3 linked regions of the Rhinolophus ferrumequinum genome follow. The protein of the gene in region 1 interacts with the protein of each later gene in a biochemical or structural test. Links are inferred from orthologs where the notes say so. Each region holds a gene or a part of one and is shown on either strand. Other genes may lie near its edges.

Region 1 (7,042 bases):
GGCATAGAGGAGAGCTGAGCAGCATTCACAGTGACGGTGCCGGCAGGGATAGAGGCAGCTGAGGCAATGGGTGTAAGGGTGGTATTGCTGCTGCTGGTCTGCCCCAGGGAAACACCCTGCATTGGGGCCAGCGTGATTGTCTGGGCCTGTGGGTTCTGAACTTGGAGGTTTTGCAGCTGAAGAGTCTGCCAACTGACCTGTCCATTGGGCCCCACTGTTGGTGTCCGGATGATGATGGGGCCAGAGTTTGGAACAGCCTGCAGCTGTAGGTTCTGGAGGGTTTCCTGGGAGATAGCTTGAGTCGTAAAGGTCTGCCCTGACAATGGTGCTGCTTGAAGAGCCTGGAGGGTCTGTCCTCCTTGAACTAGCTGAGGCTGGATAAGAATTTGTTGTTGCTGTGACTGCTGGTTTTGCTCTCCCTCTTTTTGCTGACTTGCTTGCATTGAGCCTCCGGATGTCTGGTTCTGCTGGATGTTTAGAGTATCAGACCCCTGTAGCCCACTGACTCTCTGGGGTGTCTGGCCTTGAGAGTTGGTCCCTGCTGATCCGCTGGTGGTAAAGTTCATAATTCCCATGTTGCTGGTGGTAGTAGTTGTTGAATAGCTATTGGCATTGGTGAAAAAGGAGCTGGAACTGGCTTGTGATGATACCAAAGTGGCAGAACTGATGGCAGTCCCTGAGGTGACGGGCTGGGAGCCACTCTCCTGGGACCCAGAGCTGCTGATAGTGACTGCCTGAGAGCTAGGAGTCAAGGTAGCTGCAGAAACGCTATTAACAGGTAGCAAAGTGATATTCCCATTCAGGGCCACTGGTACATTGGTCACATACTGAGTTTGTCCTGAGAGTACATTATTAGCCAGGCCTTGCAGGGGGACAGCCTGTTGGAGTAGATTTGGCATAGCAGCAATGATGTTGCCTCCACTTCCTCGATTTGTGATGATCTGTTGGTTTGCACCTGGTATGATCTGTATTTGACCAGAACCATCCTGCTGCACTTGGGCCCCAGTGGCAGCGAATTGCAGCTGTTGCCCATCAACGGTCTGGAACTGTGGGATTACTTGATACTGAATGTTAGGCATCACTCCAGGTAGTCCTGTCAAGACTTGCTGGTTCTGTAAGTTGGAGGTGGCAGCCACAACATACTGCCCACCAGAGACCGTGCGATTCTTGGAAGACTCACTGCCATTGCTGCCATTGGTACTGCTGCCACTCTGTTCCTTTGAGGTAGGGGTAGCCCCAGAGGAGGAAGAGATGATCTGCCAGCCATTGGCACCCTGTGAGAGTTGTGTGGCCGTGAGGTCAAGCTCACTGGTGCCCCCTGACTGGCCTGGGCCCTGCGAGTTGTTGCTGTTTTCATTGGGTGATTCAATTCTGCTGCAAGTTGCTGCCAGCAGAGCCAAAGGGGATGGCTGGGATTCCTGGCCAAAAAATAAGACAGAGGAAAGGAATCAGTTCAGTGACACCCAGCTGCGGGGGGAGGGGGGGGGGCAGTATACTATAAACAAACAGCAACACAGTGCAAACAAATAAAGAGAAAATGAACAAAACGCTGAAATTGACATTTTTGGGGCTCTCCCAATCACTTGTCTCTCTGTACTTACTTCCCTATCTCTAAAAGGGTGAACCCCTTCCTAAATTCTTTTCTGTGGAGATAATCACCTAAAGATGGGTACATCCTCTCAACACCTTGGCCGCTCTGTCCTGATCAGCACTTACCTGTCCTCCTCCTCCACTGCTGCTGCTACTGCCTGTGCTGCTGCTTCGAGCCTGGGAAAAGGCACCACCACCATTACCATTGCCCCCATTATTGCCACCAACTCCTTTTTCAATCTTCACCACGGCTGTCATTTCATCCATGGAGTGATCTTGGTCTAAAAAGAATGAAAGGATAGACAACTTAAAGTTGAGGGAAGGAAAAGGGTAAAGTGAGGAAGAATAGAAGAGGCTATGATGAAACAGGCATGACTAACAGGAAGGTGAAACATGCCAGCGTAAAAAAAAAAAAAAAGGATTGGGGGAGAAGGAACAGTTGTAGAATGTGTAGCACATGAGCTAGGCTTATTGGTGCCAAAACTGGGCCTCAACTCTCCTTTGCACTAAGTTAAACTCAGAAAATATTGAAAAGGTGCTTTTGGCATAGGAAGTGTGAAGGACAGTGGGCATGTTGAAAGAGTTTCAAAACAAGAAAAAGTATCCTGGGGGAAAAAAATAAGGATAAAACAAAAAACAACATGTGGGTGGATGGAAAGCTTGCTAAAATTAGGGTCAAAAGAGATGGAGAAAGAGAAAAATTCAAGTGTAAAAAGTAACAAGAGAGGAGGGCAAAGGGAAAAAAAGTTGAGAAGTGTGAGTGGGGAAACATTTGTGAATACTGGTGGTAAGGGGCTAAACGGGTCCAGGACACAGAAATCAGGTTTCCTGGCGGACTGAGGGCGGACCCTAGAGGGAAAGGGCGGTTTCGGGGTGAGGGGCGTGGAAAGGGCGGGACAGTGGGGGGGAGGGGAAATCTACGGAAGGTGGGGAGGGCCCTGGGGCAGGCGGCGACCAGAGGGCGGACCAGGGAGGCGGTTGGCCCGGGCGGGGCCTGCACTGCTCGGGCCGCCCCCGCGGCTCCAGCCCCCGGCAGGAGGAGCCTTAGGCAGGCGGCCGAGTAGTGGGGGGTAAGGCCCGTCCCCCCCGTGGCCGGGGCGGGCAGGGGGCGGGCGAGGCCACTCTGCCCCCTCCCCCGGGGCGGGCGGCCCATCCCCCTCCTCCTCGGAGGCCCCGCCACTGCCCCTTCTCCCTCCCTTCCCTCCGCCCCGGGCGGGACCAAGGCCGCCGCCGCCGCCTCCCGCCCGCCCCCCCTCATGGCGGGGACCGCCTGGTCGGCCCTCGCGCGCGCCCCCTCATTCCCCTACCACCCCTAAGCTTGGAGTGGACTCATCCTTACCGCTCATGGTGGCAGCTGAGGGACGAGCTCAAGGGGGTCCTGTCCGGGGGGGTTGGGGGGGGCCGGGAAAAACGCGGACGCTGACGAGGCAAACGAACCCGTACCGGACAGGGAGGGGGGGGTAAGGAGGAGGGAGCAGCGCGCCACAAGCCCGGCCTAGGCCCCTCCCCTTCACTGCTGCCCCGCCCAATGAGGGAGGGAGGAAGGAGGGACTTGCAGAAGAAAGGCGGGCAGGTTACCCAATGGTAAGACTCGCTTACTCTCTAAGGCGTGTAAGACAAAGTTGCGTGCCCGGTGTCCGCCCTAAAAGGCCGCCCTCTCAATTTTCAAAACCAATGAAAGACGCAGGAAGTGAATGTGGGCGGGAGCTAGAAATGATAGGCTTGGAAAGGAACCAGTCAACTGCCAGGCGGGCTCCTTGAGAGGTAGAGATAGGAAGAGCTTTGGTTGGAGTGACAAAACAACGACCAACCAGAACCCTGGACGTGCCTGAGCAAAGTCCCAGTGGGAGGAGCGATAAGAAGTAGGCAGGAATGGGAGAGGATGAAGTTGATCAAAACCAATCAGAAATCAGGCGGGCAGCCAGGAAAGTTGTGATTGGATTAACGCTGAAAAGAGACAAGATAAGACGCAAATTGACGGGAACTAAAAGCCAATTAAACACCGAATGAACTCTAAGGGTGGGAACTCGGAGTAGTCAGAGGAGAATTGGCGTCTCACTCAGTCACTCAGTCCAATGAGGCGGCGAAGGAAGCCAGACACCGCCTCCATCTTGGCTGATGGGCGTTACTAGAGCCGCCTCTCATGGGGGAGGGAACAGGGCTGTGCCAAGAGGAGTCCGTCGCCATATTGGCCCTCCTCAGGGGACGTCTTTACAGTGACTGGGTGCTATGCTTTAGCGGAGCCCTCTAGCTCAACAAGTGTCAGGGCCAAGAAACTCAGTGTGCAGTTCTGCCTCGCCACCAGGGCTCTTTTACGTCTTCTTTTAACGTCCCTTAAAAAAAAAGTATTTCTCAAGTCTCACTCTACCCAGGCTGGGCGGACAGGCAGTCGGATGCCTCTGAACGTGGGTGTAAACCCTGAGGGTGCCAGCGCAATGAGATCTGGCGACGTTGCTCACGCCTTCAGTCAACACTGAGCTGACCAATTTGCAAGGCCTTTGTGAGATTACAGCAAACGCCATTTTATTAAATTTCCCCAAAGGTGCTGACCACTTAATTTATGGCAGATTAACTTTTCAAGAACTCTTGAGGCTAAAGTGCACTGGAGAACCCAGAGTCAAGGTCCTGTAAGCCACTTACTCCCCCGCCACTTGCAATTGTAAATGCCGTCTAATCATAAAACAAGGTAGTAGAACAGTTTTTTTGTTGTGGTTGTTTTTTTTACAACTACAAAGGTTTTAAAGGAGCTATTTCCCCAGGTACCTGAATTTCTGCTCTCCCATCCTGCCTTCCTTTTCTAGTTTTGGTGGAGGCAGCCTGGGTGGTTTGTGGTCAAGAATGATGAGGTCATTCTCTTTAGCACTTGTATGTTATATATGTTATCACTTAAATAGCTACAATTTCAGCGCTTGTGATAGGTTGTCATGTTTTAAAGTCTGGATTCCCCTAAAACAGACCTCTGCAGTCTTGGGCAGGGCCTGAAGACAGGTGACGTGATTGTTGAATGTGTTAGGTGCCTAGGTCAGTTAGGTGTTTTGCATTCTTTATGTCATGCTCATATGGAAGATACTAGTAAGTTTTAGAGATTATATGTTTTATAACTGAAGAAATTAAGGCTGGGAAGTAACTTGCCCAAGGTCACAAAGCTAATAAGTTGTAGTTCCAGATTCCAACCCAGAATAGTACCACAAAAAGTCTTGTATAAATTCTTTGTAGAGAATAAAGCAATGCCTTGTATAACCATTTAGAAAAATGGCTTAATAAAAAAAAATTTCTGCCTCCTTCGCTCTCCCATCTTTCCCTCCTCTGGCTTTTTCTTCCTAACTCAAGGAAGTCCGCTTCCCCGAAGGGGTCTGAGCCTTTATTGTTTTTTTGTTTTTTTTCTTTTTCTTTATTGTTTTTTAAAAATGCTTTTATTTTTTTATTTATTTATTTTTTTTAAAGATTTTATTGGGGGGGAACAAGACTTTATTGGGGAACAGTGTGTACTTCCAGGCCTTTTTTCCAAGTCAAGTTGTTGTCCTTTCAATCTTAGTTGTGGAGGGCGCAGCTCAGCTCCAGGTCCCGTTGCCGTTGCTAGTTGCAGGGGGTACAGCCCACCATCCCTTGCGGGAGTCGAACCGGCAACCTTGTGGTTGAGAGGACACACTCCAACCAACTGAGCCATCCGGGAGCTCAACGGCAGCTCAGCTCAAGGTGTCCTGTTCAATCTTAGTTGCAGGGGGCAGAGCCCACCGTCCCTTGTGGGACTCGAGGAGTAGAACCAGCAGCCTTGTGGTTGAGAGCCCAGTGGCCCATGTGGGAATCGAACCGGCAGCCTTCGGAGTTAGGAGCACGGAGCTCTAACTGCCTGAGCCACCGGGCCGGCCCTTAAAAATGCTTTTATCATGTTACCTTCTAGCTCCTGAAAAAATGCTGCCATACTTCCAGGATAGTTCAAATGGCACCCTCGCCTTGTACACCTTTATTAGAAAACATCACAGTACATTATAGTTAGCAGCGTCTCTCCCTAGATCAAAGCGTCTCACACTATGTCAGACAATCCCCATCAGAAGGCTGTGGGCTGCTTTTTAAAAAGGTCGATTCCACTAACAATTGTCACCCCAATAAATTAAAAATAAATTTAATAAAAAAAAAAAAAAGTCAGATGAGGTGTCATCAGAAAATATAACATAGATTCAAAATATGATAGCAGCACCATACATTAATTCTAAATCAATATTACTGTATGATTATCAAAACTTTTGTATGCTTAAATTACTCATTTCTCCATAGCAAAATAAAGATACCTATTTGATTATAAAAAAAAAAAAAAAAAAGGTCGATCCCTAGACCCCATCTCAGATGGAATAAATCCCATTCTCTCCGGTGGGGCTTGACAGTATGCATTTTGTAGTAGCTCTTTCAAGTGATTAGTCCCTAAACCAGTTTTAAGAAACACTGTGGGAAGAAACTGGAGAGAAGAAATTTCCAGAAGGGAAGAAACTTCCCAAGGGAAAAAACTGCATTAGTCATCTTTGTAAACCAAGCTGTCAAGATTGTAACAGCTGTTCAGTGCATTCAGCCTAAGACCACACCTAAACTGGGGGGGCTAACATTGTAGAGCAGTCCTCTGAACATTTCACACACATTGTCCAACTTAATCCTTTCAACCAATTGAAGAAACTGCCATCTCCTTTTACAGATGAGAAAACTGAAGCTCAGATACTTCCGTTAAATTCATGACTGCTCTGTTTAATCCCAAACTTTGTGTTTTTTCCATGGTTCTAAGCTATGCCTAAAATGAGAACTAGGGTTGGATTTTATCCCAGATACTGAGAAAAGGCTTAGATATAGACTCAGCAATTCCGGAGCCATCATCCTTTTCCCAATACTGTTTCTCCAGGACAAGACAAAATTCAGAACCTGGCTAGTGAGGGATGGTTGCTTATTGATGGTCCCTGAAAGCAAATGGGCATGATCCATCTTGTCCAATTATCTGTAAAACCTGAACAAATTTTTTTTAGACTTAACACAAAAACCAAAAATGAATCAACTTATTTCAAGGCTTCTTAAATCACTTAATTCCTAATGACTGTGTTTTAAAAACACAGTGTTTTAAAAAGCAATGTAGGGGGCGGCCGGTTAGTTCAGTTGGTTAGAGTGCTGTGCTCTTAACAACAAGGTTGAGGTTTCAAATCCAGCATGGGATGGTGGGAGGCGCTCTGTGCAACTAAAGATTGAAACCGGCAACTGGACTTGGAGCTGAGCTGTGCCCACCACAACTAGATTGAAGGACAACAACTTAGAACTAATGGACCCTGGAGAAACACACTGTTCCCCAATGTTCCCCAATAAAATTAATAAAAGGAAAAAGAACGAGTTCTATGAAGTCTTTCCTACCTCCCGCAGGTATTGAATACTCTGTCTACCGTGTTTGGTTTACACACCTCCACTAGAGGTATCTAAATAT
Region 2 (7,053 bases), on another chromosome or scaffold:
ATGAAAAACAAGACTAAAAAGCCCCATTTGTCAAGTGAAAGAGGCCAGACTACTGTCTCTCAAAATTCCAGGCAAAGAAGTTCCTCTGCAGACAGGTGGAGGCTCTACAGATGGTCCGCAAAAAAGTAAACAGACTGTAACTGCCTTTTAGAACATCTAGCAAAAGTGGTTGTTTTCAAGTCACCAGATACATACGTGTTTTGAAAAATATCTAAGACAAATTGCCTCTTGTTTTAACGTGGATAATAATTAACTGAATTTTTAAAAAATGATTTAAACAATGAAAAATTCGCCCTAAAAAGTGAAAACAAAAACGGTCTCCCAAGTTTTAACAGTAAAAGAGCACTGGACTAGGAGTTTTCTGAAACCTAGTAGTTGTATGAGCTTAGTAGATGTGATTATAAAAACCAGCACCGCATACCTTAATCTATGTGCTAGGGATTGCACTAGGCACTTCACATAAATACAAACTGTTAACGTCTGAGGGAAGAAAATTCCCTTTGTTCCCCAAAAGAAGCCAGCCACTGTTATGGGACAGAATCCCACAAGTCCGAAGTTTGTTTTTCCAATCTTACAAAATATTCCTCCCTAAGATAGACAAGTGCTTTTACCAGCTGGCCTAAACCGTCCCCACTGCTGCCCACTGCCCTTTCCCGTCTACCCTCTGAGCACACGGCACAATGTGGTGCCTCACCCCAGGCTCTTCTCTCTGTGAGCAAGGCTCCTGTATTCTGTCCCATTAGAAGAAACCCCATCCTTCTTGGAGGCCCATCAGAAGTGTGGCTGTGTTAAGCCTTCCACCGAGGCTACTGGTAGCTCACACACCAGTACTGTACTTTGCAGAACTGAACTTGGTCCCGTTATTCCACTAACCGTTAGGTATTAGTTGTTCACCTGTCAATCTCCACCAGCAGGGAAGGTGCTCGTTTACCTTTACCCACTCCCACCCCAGCACAGAGACGTACGTCTGTTCCACACTAACTGCTCCAGATTTGCCTGTCAACAGGTATTTCTCCTAATCCTAATGAAAACCCCACGACATCTGTTGAGAACATGTCAACATGGAATTAGAAAGGATGTTATAAAAAAATAAACCAAGAGACAGCTGTGGACTGAGCTAACTGCGTCAAGCCGGACACGTTCAAAGTGACACAGAAAGGTGAAAGAAAAATGAATTGTACATCCTCGGGGGAAGGAGCGTTCGCACGATGAGCGACGGATGAGTAACCAAATCGTAAGCAAGCTGTGCAGCCTCCGGGAAAAGGAACGCACAGGGCCAGCAGTTTTCTCCAAGTGAGGTTCCAGGCAGCGAACGGACGGGCCTTGGCGCCCGGGGGAGAAAGGGAGACGGTCTGGTTGGGCTCCAAGACTGAGGTGTGCGGGTCGGGCCTGGCAAGCGGGGCGGGGATTAGAGGAAATGACGAGCCAAAAAGGGGGTGGCAACGGCGCCGGGCCGCAGACCCGGGCCGAGCGTGCTGGGAGGGACGCAGCGGGTAGGGGGAGTGGGCAGACGGCCTCCCCGCCATCCGGTCCGCGGAGACGGCGGGGGCGGGCGGGCGGGCCGGCCCCCTCTCCCCGCCGCACTCGGGCCCTGTGGGTCATGGCACGTGTCTTGCCCAGTCTTCCCTGCGGACCCAGGAGGGCGACAGACAGACCCAGCTCACGGAGGGCTGGGGTACGCGGGCCCCGCGGGGGGAGGTGTCCCGTCCCGAGCGCCGGAGCGGGAAGAGAGCAAGGGCGGGCTTAAGTGTGAGGTCGGAACCACCAGGAGAAAACCGCCGAGGCAGCGAGGCGTGCGCGTGTGTGTACCTGAGCGTAGGGGCATTCGTGGCAGGCAAGCCCGCCACTCCCGAGCCTGGGGCCTGAGAACCGGGGCCTAAGAGTTGGGGGAACCGGGACGCATCCCCAACTGGCTCCGGCACCCTGCAAGTGTTTGGACCCCGAGGTGCCTGCCCCCGGGGGCGCCATCTCCGTGCGGGGCGGCCCCCTGCAGGCCTCGGCCGGGAGTGCCCCGCGGCGCTCGCAGGCTCCCAGCCGGGGGCCCCAGCCACCCCATTCGGCTAGGCTCAGCTCGACTCCCCAGGCTCGACGGGCGCCTGGGCCTCTCCTGAGTGGTCAGCGAGACCCGCCAATCGGGGCGCTGGGGCCGGCTCTGGGCCGCTGGATATTGGCTCCTCACACTCACCGTGCCTCGCTCCCCCGGTTCGCTGCCCGCGCTGATTGGCTCCAGTACCGGACTCCGAAACCCAATCAGAGGCTCCAGCCGCCGCTGCCGCCGCCACTGCCGCTGCCTCGCAAAATGGCGAACCCGAACAAAGGGGAATCGGGCCTCCCTCCAACCGCCTCCGCGCAGGCGCCTCTGAGGCCACGCCCCCTAACCCCCCGCTCGGGGCTCGCCCCACCCCCGTTGAAAGAGCACTGCGCAGGCGTCCCCTTAAACCACGCCCACTTTCCTAATTAGGTACCACTACCGACCGGAGGAATACGCAGGCGCCCTGGGCACGCCCCAAACCGTGCGACTCCAAACACCGTTCTGAACGCAATACTACGCAGGCGCTAACTAGCTTCTTTGCCAACCTCCAACCCCTTTCTATGCGGCCACTGGAGACACACCTCTGGGGCTAATGCGCAAGCGCCGTTTTTCCCCCGCTCGAGGTCGGCTGTCTCGTTACGCATGCCCGGGTGGCGGCAGGAGACTCCGCAGAATTCACCGCCGGAAGTTCGGCGGCCATAACCAAAGAGTGCAGTTTCGGCTAGCTAGCTAGAGGGGCTCGTTTCCGCATCGCTCCCGGGTAGTGGGCGGCCATCTTAGGTGCGTGCAATTAAAGGGCTGTGGCGGGATTGGCTCCGCGTCTGGACTTGTCTGCTGTTTCCCACCTACCAGGGCCGGATCTGGAGCCCTTTCCCGTGGGGCGGGACCTCGTAACGCCGACTCCAGGTGAAGGGTAACTGGTACGTTGGGGCGTTGAGCGAGCCTTCCCGCTCCTTCCCCCGGGACTCCGGGACAGGCTCTGCACCTCGCTGACCCGCCGTAGGGTAGGAAACAGAGAATGGGAGGCTTCTCTAGACTTCTTGCCCTACCCCCCAAAAGGGGAGGAAGCCTTTCTTGAGAGGCCACCTTTCCTCTCCTCTTGCCTACGGCCGGGCAGTACACTCCCCCTGGTCCGTACACTCCCTAGTTGCGGCCCCAAGCCCCTCCCTTTTTCTTGTAGGCCAAACCTACTGAGTTTAAGGAGCCCGTCCTAAATCCGCCCGCCTCGGGCGCGGGCCAAGGAGGAGGCGTGTCGTGGGGCCGCCTTTTCTTCGCTGGCGGAGCGGGGCGCTCCAGGAAAGCGCGAAATACTAGCGGGCCTGGCTGCCTGCGAACCTAGGCAGGCTGCCTCGCCCCAGAGCACTTCTGTGTTCCTTCCAGAGGCTGAACGAACTCACTTTCAGTTGGGGCAACAAGGGGGTGGTCGGGGCGATCTGGCTATAATATATTCAGGCTGCCTAAGCATTTGTCCTTTTCCCTTCTCGTAGCTGAAGAAACATTTTAATTCTGGAGATACCGACTCAGTATCATGGCCGGCAGCCCTAATGAAGATCCAGAAGGAAGCAGAGTGGGTAACAACTGTTAACTTAGTGGTGAACTGAAATTCAGAATAATTGAGGTTACAAGCATAAACACTTTTTAATTAAACCAATAATTGAATTGTCTTTTTCCCCCCCTCTAGCTGGTTTACTTCAGAAAGGCTAATACAACTTAGGCAGAGACCGTCTGTCACTTTTCTTTACACAAGCTTTAATTCATTGTGGTTAACCCCTTAAATTCTGAGGATTTGGCTTTCAATGAGGGGTGGGGCGGAGGACACAGTAAAGGAAAGTGAAAGTAATAGTGTAGTATTTTTCAGTATCTAATAAAACATTTTCTTTCCCTTTGCCCGTTTCAGATCACTTATGTGAAAGGAGACCTTTTTGCATGCCCCAAAACAGACTCTCTAGCCCACTGTATCAGTGAGGATTGTCGAATGGGGGCTGGGATAGCTGTACTCTTCAAGAAGAAATTTGGAGGGGTGCAGGAACTGTTAAACCAACGTGAGTTTTGAAAACAGTTTAACTTGCCCTCACTAGAGCCTCTTTTGACTGTGTTATATTAATACTTTAATTATTAAACAAGATACATATGCAAAGAGCGAGTTCATAACCACGGAGTACTTTTAACTCATCAGATTCAGCTTTTCCTCCACAAAACTGGTCTCTAGTTTGGGTCCTTATCACACCTAACCTGAATTCTTGTAAAAGTCGCTGATCTCTTCCTCCTCTGTCATAAAACTGAATAATACTCCACTTCTCGGAAACCCTTAATAACACTGGAGTGCGTAGCAAAGTCCACAGGCATTAGCTTGGCATTCAGAATCCTCTGTTCACGGATATCGCATTCAGGAGTTTAGAATCCTCCGCTTCCTTATAGACCCCCCCATCACTTTCTACCAATGATTTTAAATCAGAGATGTGTATCAGAATCATGTGGAGTTTCTGGAACAGTTGCTCAGACCACAGTCCAGGCTTAATCAGGGTCTCCACTGGCAATTCTGATGCCAGCCTTTAAAAGAGCAATTTCTTATTGCTTTGTATTGTTATTTGTAAACATGACACCTTTTCTTGATTGAAAACTCATAATAATTAGGAACCTTTTTATACACCTGTGGTCTCTGTAACGCTTAAACGTTAGCTCTTTGTATGTAAAAAGATCATTATTGAATGAACACACAGTTGGCAAATGAAAAATGCTGTACATTCTAAAATATTTCAAGGCAAAAAAACTACACATTAAAGTTTTTTAAGTGAACAAATAAGGGTGTATTTGAAAATAAGGGCAGGACAAAAGATAGGGGGTGAGGAAAACATTGAGAAAACATAATTAAAGAAGGTAGAAGTTAAGAAAATGCAGTATTTAGGAATGCTGATAAGAAGCAAAGTGTTCATAGGAGACAATAGATTTCTTTAGATTATTTCCAGTTCTGAGGTTAACTCAGATCTGTAAAGATTTCTTAAAATCTAAGAATGGAGATAAGTGTTTTGATTTTCCTTTCTATGAAATAACTTTCTCTTAGAAAAGAAATCTGGAGAAGTGGCTGTTCTGAAGAGAGATGGGCGATATATATATTACTTGGTAAGATAACTCTCCGAGTTGTAAGGGTTGGTGACCCGGGGAGCTGTGCGGAATTTGTGTTGATCATTCTAGACGGGCAAAGACATCAAAAAGCCTCTGATCTCATGCCAGCTCAGATCCAGTGGTGGTGGTGATTTGGAGCTGTGGGTTAGAAAGGAACATGAAGCTGCATCCTAGTTCCATGGGAAAGAGTATTGTGACATCAACCAAAGGTCTGTGTTCTAAGATTTGCAAAAAGTTAGGGATAACTAGTCATAGTGAGACAGAAACGAGACATTGCTCAAAGGAGTTTTTCCTCTCATTCTTCCCTATCAAATGCGCTTAACTCCTTTCCTTCCTCTGCCTCAGTGTGAGATTCTTCCACTGTCCAAATGGTTTTCGGCCCCAGAAAGAGTGTGGCTTCTTGGTGATGGTGCTGGGTGAGTTATAGGCAACCCACTAGAAGCTTGTTTTGGACAGCACACTGAGTGGGTTCATGAATGCTATCTTTAAGGCTGATGTTATTCCCAGTATTATTTGGGACGCTACCAGTTTCTCTGTTCTTTTATAGAAAAACAAAAAGCAAGCAAGCATGGTTTCTAAATAAATAGACGGAACAGGAAATTTTCAGGTAGTATTCGGTTCTTCCTTTAACTAGAGATTTGCAGTTTATCTCTTGGAAGTGGCACAAAGACTTTCACCTACCTTGCTGAAAAACAATAGACAGTAGGCACAGCCTGTTAACCTCCTGGGCGTCTTGAGAAAAGGAAAGATTATTATGTGGCAATGTCTGGGTTTCTTAGGCCCTATGTAGTGGATTTTCCTGAGGACCTCCCATCACTGAACGGGACACTATTTTTCATCCTTGCTCTAGACTATTCTATAAAAATGCAGTCATCATTTTATCAGGATGTTGGGAGAATGTGATGGCTTTCTTTTGCTATCAATTTAGACTAATAGAAGTTTGAATTCTTTCTTTGTACTCAGATTACAAAGAAAAGGGCTTCACACAAGCCAACTTACGAAAATTTACAGAAGAGTTTAGAGGCCATGAAGTCCCATTGTCTGAAGAATGGAGTCACCGACCTCTCCATGCCCAGGCAAGGAAATCCAAGGCTCTAAGTGAAGATTTACTTGATTGGTGGAGGTTACTGTCTTATCCAAAAACAAATGGCTTAAAAGCTTAATCCAAAATATGGACTTAAAGGTGGACAATTTCAAAACTTTAAAAAATCGCCAGTGAATCAGTTGTCAGACCTTAGGCTAAGGCCTACCCATTTATTAGTATAGGTTGAAAGAATCAGGGCAATGAACTTAAAACACACACCTGCCTCAGCCTATGTAGTAGGGAAGAACCATTGTTCAATCACATTTAAATTGTAAACGATCACTGCCTTTTAAACTGCATACTTGTTTGTGGTCACCATGGGCAGTTAGCCAGAGGCCAGGTCACATCAGCTGGGTCCTGGATGTGACGTCTTAGACCCTACCTATTGGGAACTTAAGGAGTGACATTGAGGGTTCAGTATCCCCTTTACCTCCTTTTCAGGCAATAGGCTTGGGCTCACTTCTCTTGTCAGTCTAATTTTAAGTTAGGGCTGACCGTGCATGCAGGTTTATTCCAAGGTCCAAGGCTACAGGGTCCCTCATCTTACACTGGTCTTTACTGTATTTATGGATTATGAATCAGAAACTTTTTTTAATCACAATTTTTTTCAGGGACTTAATCATCACGTATGAAATTAGCAAATTTTTTTAATTTTAATTTTTTTTATTTTATTGGGGAACAGTGTGTTGCTCCAGGGCCCATTAACTCCAAGTCGTTGTCCTTCAATCTACTTGTAGAGGGCACAGCTCAGCCATGTCCAGCTGCTGTTTTCAATCTTAGTTGCAGGGGGCCCAGCCTACCATCTCATGTGGGA
Region 3 (7,225 bases), on another chromosome or scaffold:
AGAGTATGGGCCAGCCCAGGGGGTGCGGGGCAGTAAGGGAGGGGCTGGAAACCCCCAGGTGGGTGGATGTCCAGGGGAGAGATCCCTGCCCCCCCCATCCTTCTTGGGTCTGCAGAGAAGAAGGCACCTCAGCAGACGAGGCTCGACCCCACGGCACATTCAAATCAGGAAGGGGGGCATTTCGAAGTGACAAGAACAGAATAGATAAAGAGCAGAGTTCCCGCCCAATACCCTGAACCTCATCAGAACCCCAGGACTTTTCCACAACCAAGGTTGGTAAAAAGAGGAATTTCCAACTTCCTGGTCCAATTAGAGCTGGGAGCAGATTGCATTTCATTTAAAGAAATAAACATGACATTTTATATCCTGTGTTGTGTGATTTAAACCCATTTCATATACCAAGGGAATACATTGATGGCAACCTGTCCAGAGAGTCCCTCAGGAGGGACTCAAAAGGGGAATTACTAGTTCTAAGAATTGGTAAACCCAAAGGAGGCTTGACTTCAGGACAGGTCTGATCCAGGAGCTCTGTCTCAAGCTAGTAGCAGCTCCAGCCTCACCACATCCAGAGAAAGAAGAGCCACCTCTTCCTGGTGCTCTCATAGGAGGTAAGCCTCTCTGTCCTTGGAGCCTTGTGAACATCTGTTTCAGTGTCACTGGCCTGAAGTGACCGTGCTTTGCTGAGCCAGTTCCTGCCGTAGGGGAAGGTCTGCGTGGGTGCCCATAGCCAGCCCTGTGGTAAGAGAGGAATTACCCTCCTCCTATCAGACCAGCCTCTGGAGCAGAGGGGACAGAGGTTGTGGCCCAAACAATTTGGTTGCTATTGACAATGCTGGTTGGTGGTCCCCAAGGTCCCTACCTGCCCTGTTGTACTGGTCACCTGCTCGGAGCTGCCACGAAAGTACCTGGACCTTCTGCTCCAGACAAACCTGGGCGGGAGCAGGCCTTGGGCCAGCCCCTGAGATTGTGGCCGGGGGCATGCTTTGCACAGTAGATTGATGGCAAAATGTCTTCCCATAGCCATGTCCCTCACCTTGTGACCTCCCATCAGGAGGCAGAGTCTATTTCCCCCAGCCCTTGACTTGCTTTGGCCAATAGGGTGAAAAAGTGGCTGTGTGCCAGTTTAGAGCCTGGGCCTCAAGTGGCCTTGGAGCTCCCTCTTGTTCTGAAACCCTGCCCAGCCTAGGTGGTCTGCTGGGATGAGGTACCATGGGGAGGAAAGCCAGTTGGCCCATCAGAGGCCATCATCCCCCACCACCCTACAAACCAGCAGACTCCAACATGTGGGCCCAGCCAGGACCAGAACTTCCCCATGCCCCCCCAAACTAAGTTGTAGATTCATGAGCAACCATGAATGCCTGTTTGTTCAAAGCACTTAGCTCTGAGGTTTCTCCCAAAGCAACAGGTAACTGATGTGCCCTCAGGAGCTGAGGATGCTTGCCCTGCTCCCTGCACAAACCCTTGGAGAGAGAAGCAGGCTTCCTGGGCGAGAGGGCTAGCCAGGGAAGATAAGGTCCAGCTGGTGTGAGAAAGCTCTCTCTGGACCATCTGGGGAACTGACATTCTGCTAACGTGTGTTTTCTACGTAAGTGCAGCCAAAGGACTCGCACTGACAATATCTGAAACTCACTTGGGTGGGGGGCTTTGGAGAAAGTTAAAAAGCACATTTTCAGGCCTCGTCCAGAGATTCATTTGTGAGGCCCAGGGATCTGCACTTAGCTGTGTGGCACCATGGGAGCACTGAGGTGCCAGCCTTTTCTCTAAGCTGGGGACGTTCAGGACCAGAGGGAAGCACGATTTGTGAGGGAGCCAGGGATGCTCACAGAAGTTCAGTGTCAAGTGAGGTTTGGAGAGGACTTGAGGGCAGCTTTTGAGGACGAAAGTGGTATTTGTCATGATTTTGTTTTTCAACATCACATCTTTAATGTGTTAAAAGTTACAAATAGAAATCTCTAGCTTTTCTTACTAGGTTGTGATATTCAAACTACAATCTTATTTATAAATCTGGTCATTTGTAGCTGTCATTTTGATTAGTCTTGTATGGTCCCGTTTATAAGCTGAAATCTCCTTTAACATTTAAACTGCATGTATACATGTAGAATCTAAATTTATATTTTAGCATTTTAGTTGTCCTCCACCAAGTATTTAAAAATTCCTATAGATGTTTAAATGTCTACATTTCTCTTAAACTTCTAAATTCTCTTTAACATTCTAATTATGATCACAAACTTTGGAAAATCTTGTACCTTCCAACTTAAAATCACTATCAAAATTAAATACTGAACCACATAGTTCACACTGGAAATCAGGTTTATCTTATACTCTACCATGCCAAATTCTCTTATAATTACATAACGTTTTAAACACAGAGGTTGTTTATAAACGCAACACAAAAATATATATTTTTTAAAGATTTTATTGGGGAAGGGGAACAGGACTTTATTGGGGAACAGTGTGCATTTCCAGGACTTTTTTTTTTTTTTCCAAGTCAAGTTGTTGTCCTTTCAATCTTAGTTGTGGAGGGTGCCCTTCAGCTTCAAGTTGTTGTTTTTTCAGTCTTAGTTGTGGAGAGCACAGCTCAGCTCCAGGTCCAGTTGCCGTTGCTAGTTGCAGGGGGCACAGTCCACCATCCCTTGCGGGAGTCAAACCGGCAACCTTGTGGTTGAGAGGACACGCTCCAACCAACTGAGCCATCCGGCAGCTCAGCTGCAGCACAGCTCAAGGTGCCGTGTTCAATCTTAGTTGCAGGGGGGCGGAACCCACCATCCCTTGTGGGACTTGAGGAGTTGAACTGGCAACCTTGTGGTTGAGAGCCCACTGGCCCATGTGGGAATCAAACTGGCAGCCTTCGGAGTTAGGAGCATGGAGCTCTAACCGCCTGAGCCACCAGGTCGGCCCCTCAACACAAAAATATTAATGTCTGGTTTTGATTTGCTTAGTCGGTTCCATATATGATTCAACCTTCTGGGTTAAAGATCCCCTCTCAGAACACAGTCCATGCCAAGGCATTTGAAGTCACCTCCTCACTGCTTGAAGGCGCCTAGGGACCAAAGGTTATGGCGGTGGCCTGAGAGCTGGTATTCTCAGAACAAAGGGGCTGGCGTGCACCTGTGCAGTGCTATGCTGAGTCCTCCAGCTCGCCACCTTCTCCCTCGGAGGTAGGTACTGTTATTATGCCCGTATGACAGGTGACATAACTGGTGAGACTTGCTTAAACAATTGGGATTCTCACTCAGGCAGGAGGGATCCAGGGCCTGCACTCTCTTGACCCTTGGAGTTGCACCAGAGGCCCCTGAGAGCTCCAGGCTTCTGCCGCACTTTGGCAAGACCTGGATGAGAGTGCTCCTCCACGAAAGGGTTCAGTCGTTCGGGTCCTGACACCCATTGCCTCAGGTAGGGATAATCCAGACTCTTAACCTGACATCTGGACCGGGTTCCTAACCTCCAAGATCTAATTGCCTCCCCCGACCCACACCAGTCCCAACCTCCTGGCACACTGGGCAGCCTTCAGTTTCCTGGACATGCCAGCCCATCTCTCCCGACCCGGGTTCCCTCCACTTGGAACTCTCTTCTCCCTTCTAGTCCTTCCAGTTCTCAGCTCCGAGGTCGCTTCCTCCGGGGAGCCCTCTTAAATTCTGGTTGAGTGCCTCTTCCGGGTTCCCGCAGATGGACCGGCTGTGGTTCCCTCCGGTCTCCACCACCAGCCTGGGAGAAAGTCCGGGATCACGGGGCCATACACCGACTTAGGGCCTGGCACGCCGGGGGTCGCAGGTGCCCTGCAGGAGCTGCAGATCCAGGCCCACTTTCCGGGTGATAGTAGAGACCCCGGGAACATTGCTCTCAAAGGCCTCACTAACGGGAGGAAAGCGACGCCAGGAGCGGAGCCTGAGCGTACCGGGTATTTGCGCCGCGGGACGGCTGGCCTGAACTAACGTTCACCTACGCGTATGAGCTGCCCGACGGCCGTGTCAGTTCGCAGACCACAACTCCCGAGAGGTCTTGCGGGCGAGCGCTGGGGCGCCGACCGCGTCTCTCGCGAGAAGACGGGAGTTTGAGCTCACGGGCGTAGGCGGGGCCGGAACAAGGCGCTTTTCAAAGTGGTAATAGATGGTTTTTTTGTCCAATAGAATTGAAAATATACCTCCTCGACCCGTAGAACGCGGGAGTACGGGCGGCGGCATCCAATGGTGATGCGAGGGGGGCGGAGCTGAGGCCTCCGGAGCGGAAGTGGATCGGTATTGAGGCGGCGGTGTGTCGCTGGAGGGCTTCTCAGCAGCAGTTTTCGAAGGTGCATCCTACCTCGAATGCGTCGGCGGTGGCGCCTGCCGGACTAAACCAGTTTCAAGTACGTCCATGCTTCGCGGGGAGGGAGCGGCAAGCCAGGCCGGGCAGATTCGGGCTTCGGGCGGCTTCGCGGCCCAGGGAGCCGCCTTAGCGCGGTCGACCCCGCTCGGGCCCCGACGCCCGACCGGGCCTCTCCCGGAACCGCAGGCTGGGCTCGCCCGCCGTCCGCGCGGCTGCACGAGCCCGGTTTGGCCCGTGCAACAAGTGCGGAGGCCACCTTGGCTTTTCGCTGCCGGGGCGGGCAGCGGCCACGGCGCTCAGTCTGCAAAGTAGCCGGGGAAACAGGCTGGGAGGGGGAGGAACGCGCCCAAGGTCACTCGGGGAGTCGGGCAGGGCGGCCCAGGGCGGGGGGCTGTGTGGGCCGTTCCGGGGAGACCTAGGCAAGGTTTTTGTTCCCCGCCGACAGCGCCTCCTTTGTGTGTTCGCGCCGCCGCCCTGCCATCGTGGGCCTGTGAGCCAGCGCGAACCGCGTGGCGGAGCCTCCTGTGGACTTGGACACTGCTGGGGGAGGTGGGAGTTGGGCCAGGGGGCGCTCAGCCCGGGGCCGGAGCATAGTCAGTCCTCAGCTTCCGGTGGTTGGAGGAACCCGTGACTGCTGGGGCCGGTGGCCCAGACCCCGCCCCTTAGGTGCCTGAAGGTGAATCAGGGTCCGACGCTAAGGCTGCAGACCTGAAACATGTCCTCAGTGAATGCCATTTTCCACCCTTTGACCCGTCGAGGGAGGAGACTGGAGCCCCCGGTAGCCGTTTTTGTGGGGTTTTGGCTTTTATCCTTGTCCGTGCCCATCGACGTTCGCAGTCATACCTTTGTTCTGCTTCTGCGGCAAGTCCTCGGAGCCAGAGTTAGGGTCTCAGCTCTGCAGTCAGCCTAGGCTGCCTCAGTGGTTGGGGTGACTGGGGCGGGCTGCCCAAGGTCACACAGCCAGCTAGCTGCCGGCGGAATGAATCTAAAACCGCGTTTTCCTAACTGCAGGATTAGGTCTTTGAGTTCAGTGACCAGGAGTTTTGGGACCTCTGGTAATGAAAAGGAGAGACGATGAAAGAAGTCTTTTTTTTCTTTTCTTCCTCTAGTGATTTTTTTTTTTAACGTGTGGGGAGAGACATGTTGGGTTCAGTTTTATCTATGAATTTGAGATGAGATGGGAACATTCAAGTTCCCATCAAGAAAGATGTATTATTGCTGGCTTTTGTATTGCTTGAACTTGAGCTTCCAACTCTTATTCACAAATATTGCTTTATACAGTGTTAACCTTTTTACAATGATCACCCCCTCCAGCTTTTTTAGACATTGTTTTTCTAACTGCCCTCTTGAAATTTTGGTGCTGCTTACATGTATGCCTTCTTGTGTACTGTATGCATATCTATGCTTTCTCCATAAAAAGAGGGAGATCTTTTTGCTCCCATTTGAGGATGCATATTCTAAATCACATTTTTAAGGTTGTGTGTGCCAAGCTTCCTGCTTGGGGTACAGCAGTGAACAAAATACAGGACCTGGTGGGGCTGAGGCCTGAGGGTGGAGGGAAGGAGACAAGTTCCCTGAAGTGGAAATACAAACTGTTCAAGAGATGGGACTGGAAAGGTAAGCAAGAACCAGGTCTCAGGTCTTTGGTGTACCTCCCTGCTGAGGAATTCGGAATTTGTCTTAAGGCCAAGTGGGAGATCACTAAATTGAGTCCTAATCAGGGAAGTAACCCAGTTACATTTGCATTTTAGAAAAATCACTGTGCTATGAGAAGGATGGCTTAGAAATGTGGCCGAGACTGGTGGCCTTGGGACCAGTTAGGAAGTGAGAAAAGGGTTGCTTGGATGAGGGAGTCACAGCCAGTCAGGGCAGTTTTTAAAGCCTCTTTACTACAGGCTGTTAGCAAAGTCCACATCTAGTAGTCTCTACCCCCCCACACCCCAATTTCTGGAAAATATGTGCACGAGGTGATTGCTTTGTATGCTGTGTAAAAATGGCTTGGTATGTTCTATGTGTGTTACATTTCTTACCTTGAAACAATTGCCCTACTTTCATTGTCCCCAAAGACATTGTCCCCAAAGTAGGAATCCTTGAAGGACAAGGCTCCGGTAGAATAATATTACAGGGTTGATTTTGTTACTAAGATATAATTCCCGTGTGTGCCCTTCTGACTTGTCTTTTCTAAATAGCTGGTTTTTCAGCAGGACTTTGGGAGTTGAGAGCAAGGCATTTTGAGGTTTCCTCTGAAGGAGGGAGCCCCAGAGCCCCAGATGCTGTACCCCGAGGTCAGATTTCAAGTGAAAGGAGACCTGGCGTCAGGACGGAGGGTGCCCTCCCTGGATTGGGGATTTCCTTGCAAGTGTTTTTTCGGGGTGTGAATAAGAACTGGCACTTTTATGGAATACCACACCATGCAGAATAGGAAAGGCCTGGAAAAGATGCAAGCTGAGTCTTATCAGTAGCTTTCTTGTGCAAAAGAGAAATTGTGACCATAAGGCTTTCTGGGAGTTTTCTTTTTAAGAAGCCACGTGGTCTCCTGGGGTACGCACTGCAGAACGGATGCACCTCCAGATAGCTGAGTAAATTGGCTTTCTCTATAGGTTGGTTTGACATTCACAAACTTACAATTAAAAGGAAACAATGTCCACGTGACATTACTAAGGGTGATGCCTCCTTGTTTTGGAATCGGAACGACAGGTCTTCCCGTGTTAGGAGCGTGATGCAGCTGTCTGTAGGGGTGGCTGTTGGCTCGCAATGGGATGGCGTCTGCTGTTGAGCAGCCGCCATTTTGGCTCTTGCAGACCCGCCTGCCAGGTAGCTGTGGCTCGCTCCATTTCACCTGTCCTGAAGACAGGGCGGTCAGGTCGCTTGCTCAAGGTCACACAGGTGGTAAGCAGACCTAGCCTTTGAACCTCAGGCT

Evidence for each region. The genes of interacting proteins can lie anywhere in the genome.
Region 2: the proteins of SP1 (region 1) and NFYA form a complex in vitro, tested with the Homo sapiens proteins (2 studies listed by BioGRID). The link is inferred for Rhinolophus ferrumequinum from reciprocal best matches to the Homo sapiens genes SP1 and NFYA.
Region 3: the proteins of SP1 (region 1) and RNF4 form a complex in vitro, tested with the Homo sapiens proteins (2 studies listed by BioGRID, with this or other methods). The link is inferred for Rhinolophus ferrumequinum from reciprocal best matches to the Homo sapiens genes SP1 and RNF4.

The regions. Positions count from the first base shown.
Region 1 is NC_046293.1:53,251,484-53,258,525, reverse strand, and holds the start of SP1 (transcription factor Sp1), read right to left. Parts: upstream 3,035-7,042; 5' UTR 2,937-3,034; coding exon 2,930-2,936; intron 1,872-2,929; coding exon 1,717-1,871; intron 1,419-1,716; coding exon 1-1,418. UniProt on the Homo sapiens protein: Transcription factor that can activate or repress transcription in response to physiological and pathological stimuli.
Region 2 is NC_046286.1:10,792,305-10,799,357, reverse strand, and holds the start of NFYA (nuclear transcription factor Y subunit alpha), read right to left. Parts: upstream 3,010-7,053; 5' UTR 2,882-3,009; exon of another isoform or gene 2,614-2,881; intron 2,333-2,613; exon of another isoform or gene 2,186-2,332; intron 2,177-2,185; exon of another isoform or gene 1,810-2,176; intron 1-1,809. Other genes in the region: ADP-ribose glycohydrolase OARD1, read left to right, coding at 3,561-3,599, 3,930-4,074, 5,094-5,152, 6,119-6,231. UniProt on the Homo sapiens protein: Component of the sequence-specific heterotrimeric transcription factor (NF-Y) which specifically recognizes a 5'-CCAAT-3' box motif found in the promoters of its target genes.
Region 3 is NC_046288.1:86,741,070-86,748,294, reverse strand, and holds the start of RNF4 (E3 ubiquitin-protein ligase RNF4), read left to right. Parts: upstream 1-4,216; 5' UTR 4,217-4,345; intron 4,346-7,225. UniProt on the Homo sapiens protein: E3 ubiquitin-protein ligase which binds polysumoylated chains covalently attached to proteins and mediates 'Lys-6'-, 'Lys-11'-, 'Lys-48'- and 'Lys-63'-linked polyubiquitination of those substrates and their subsequent targeting to the proteasome for degradation.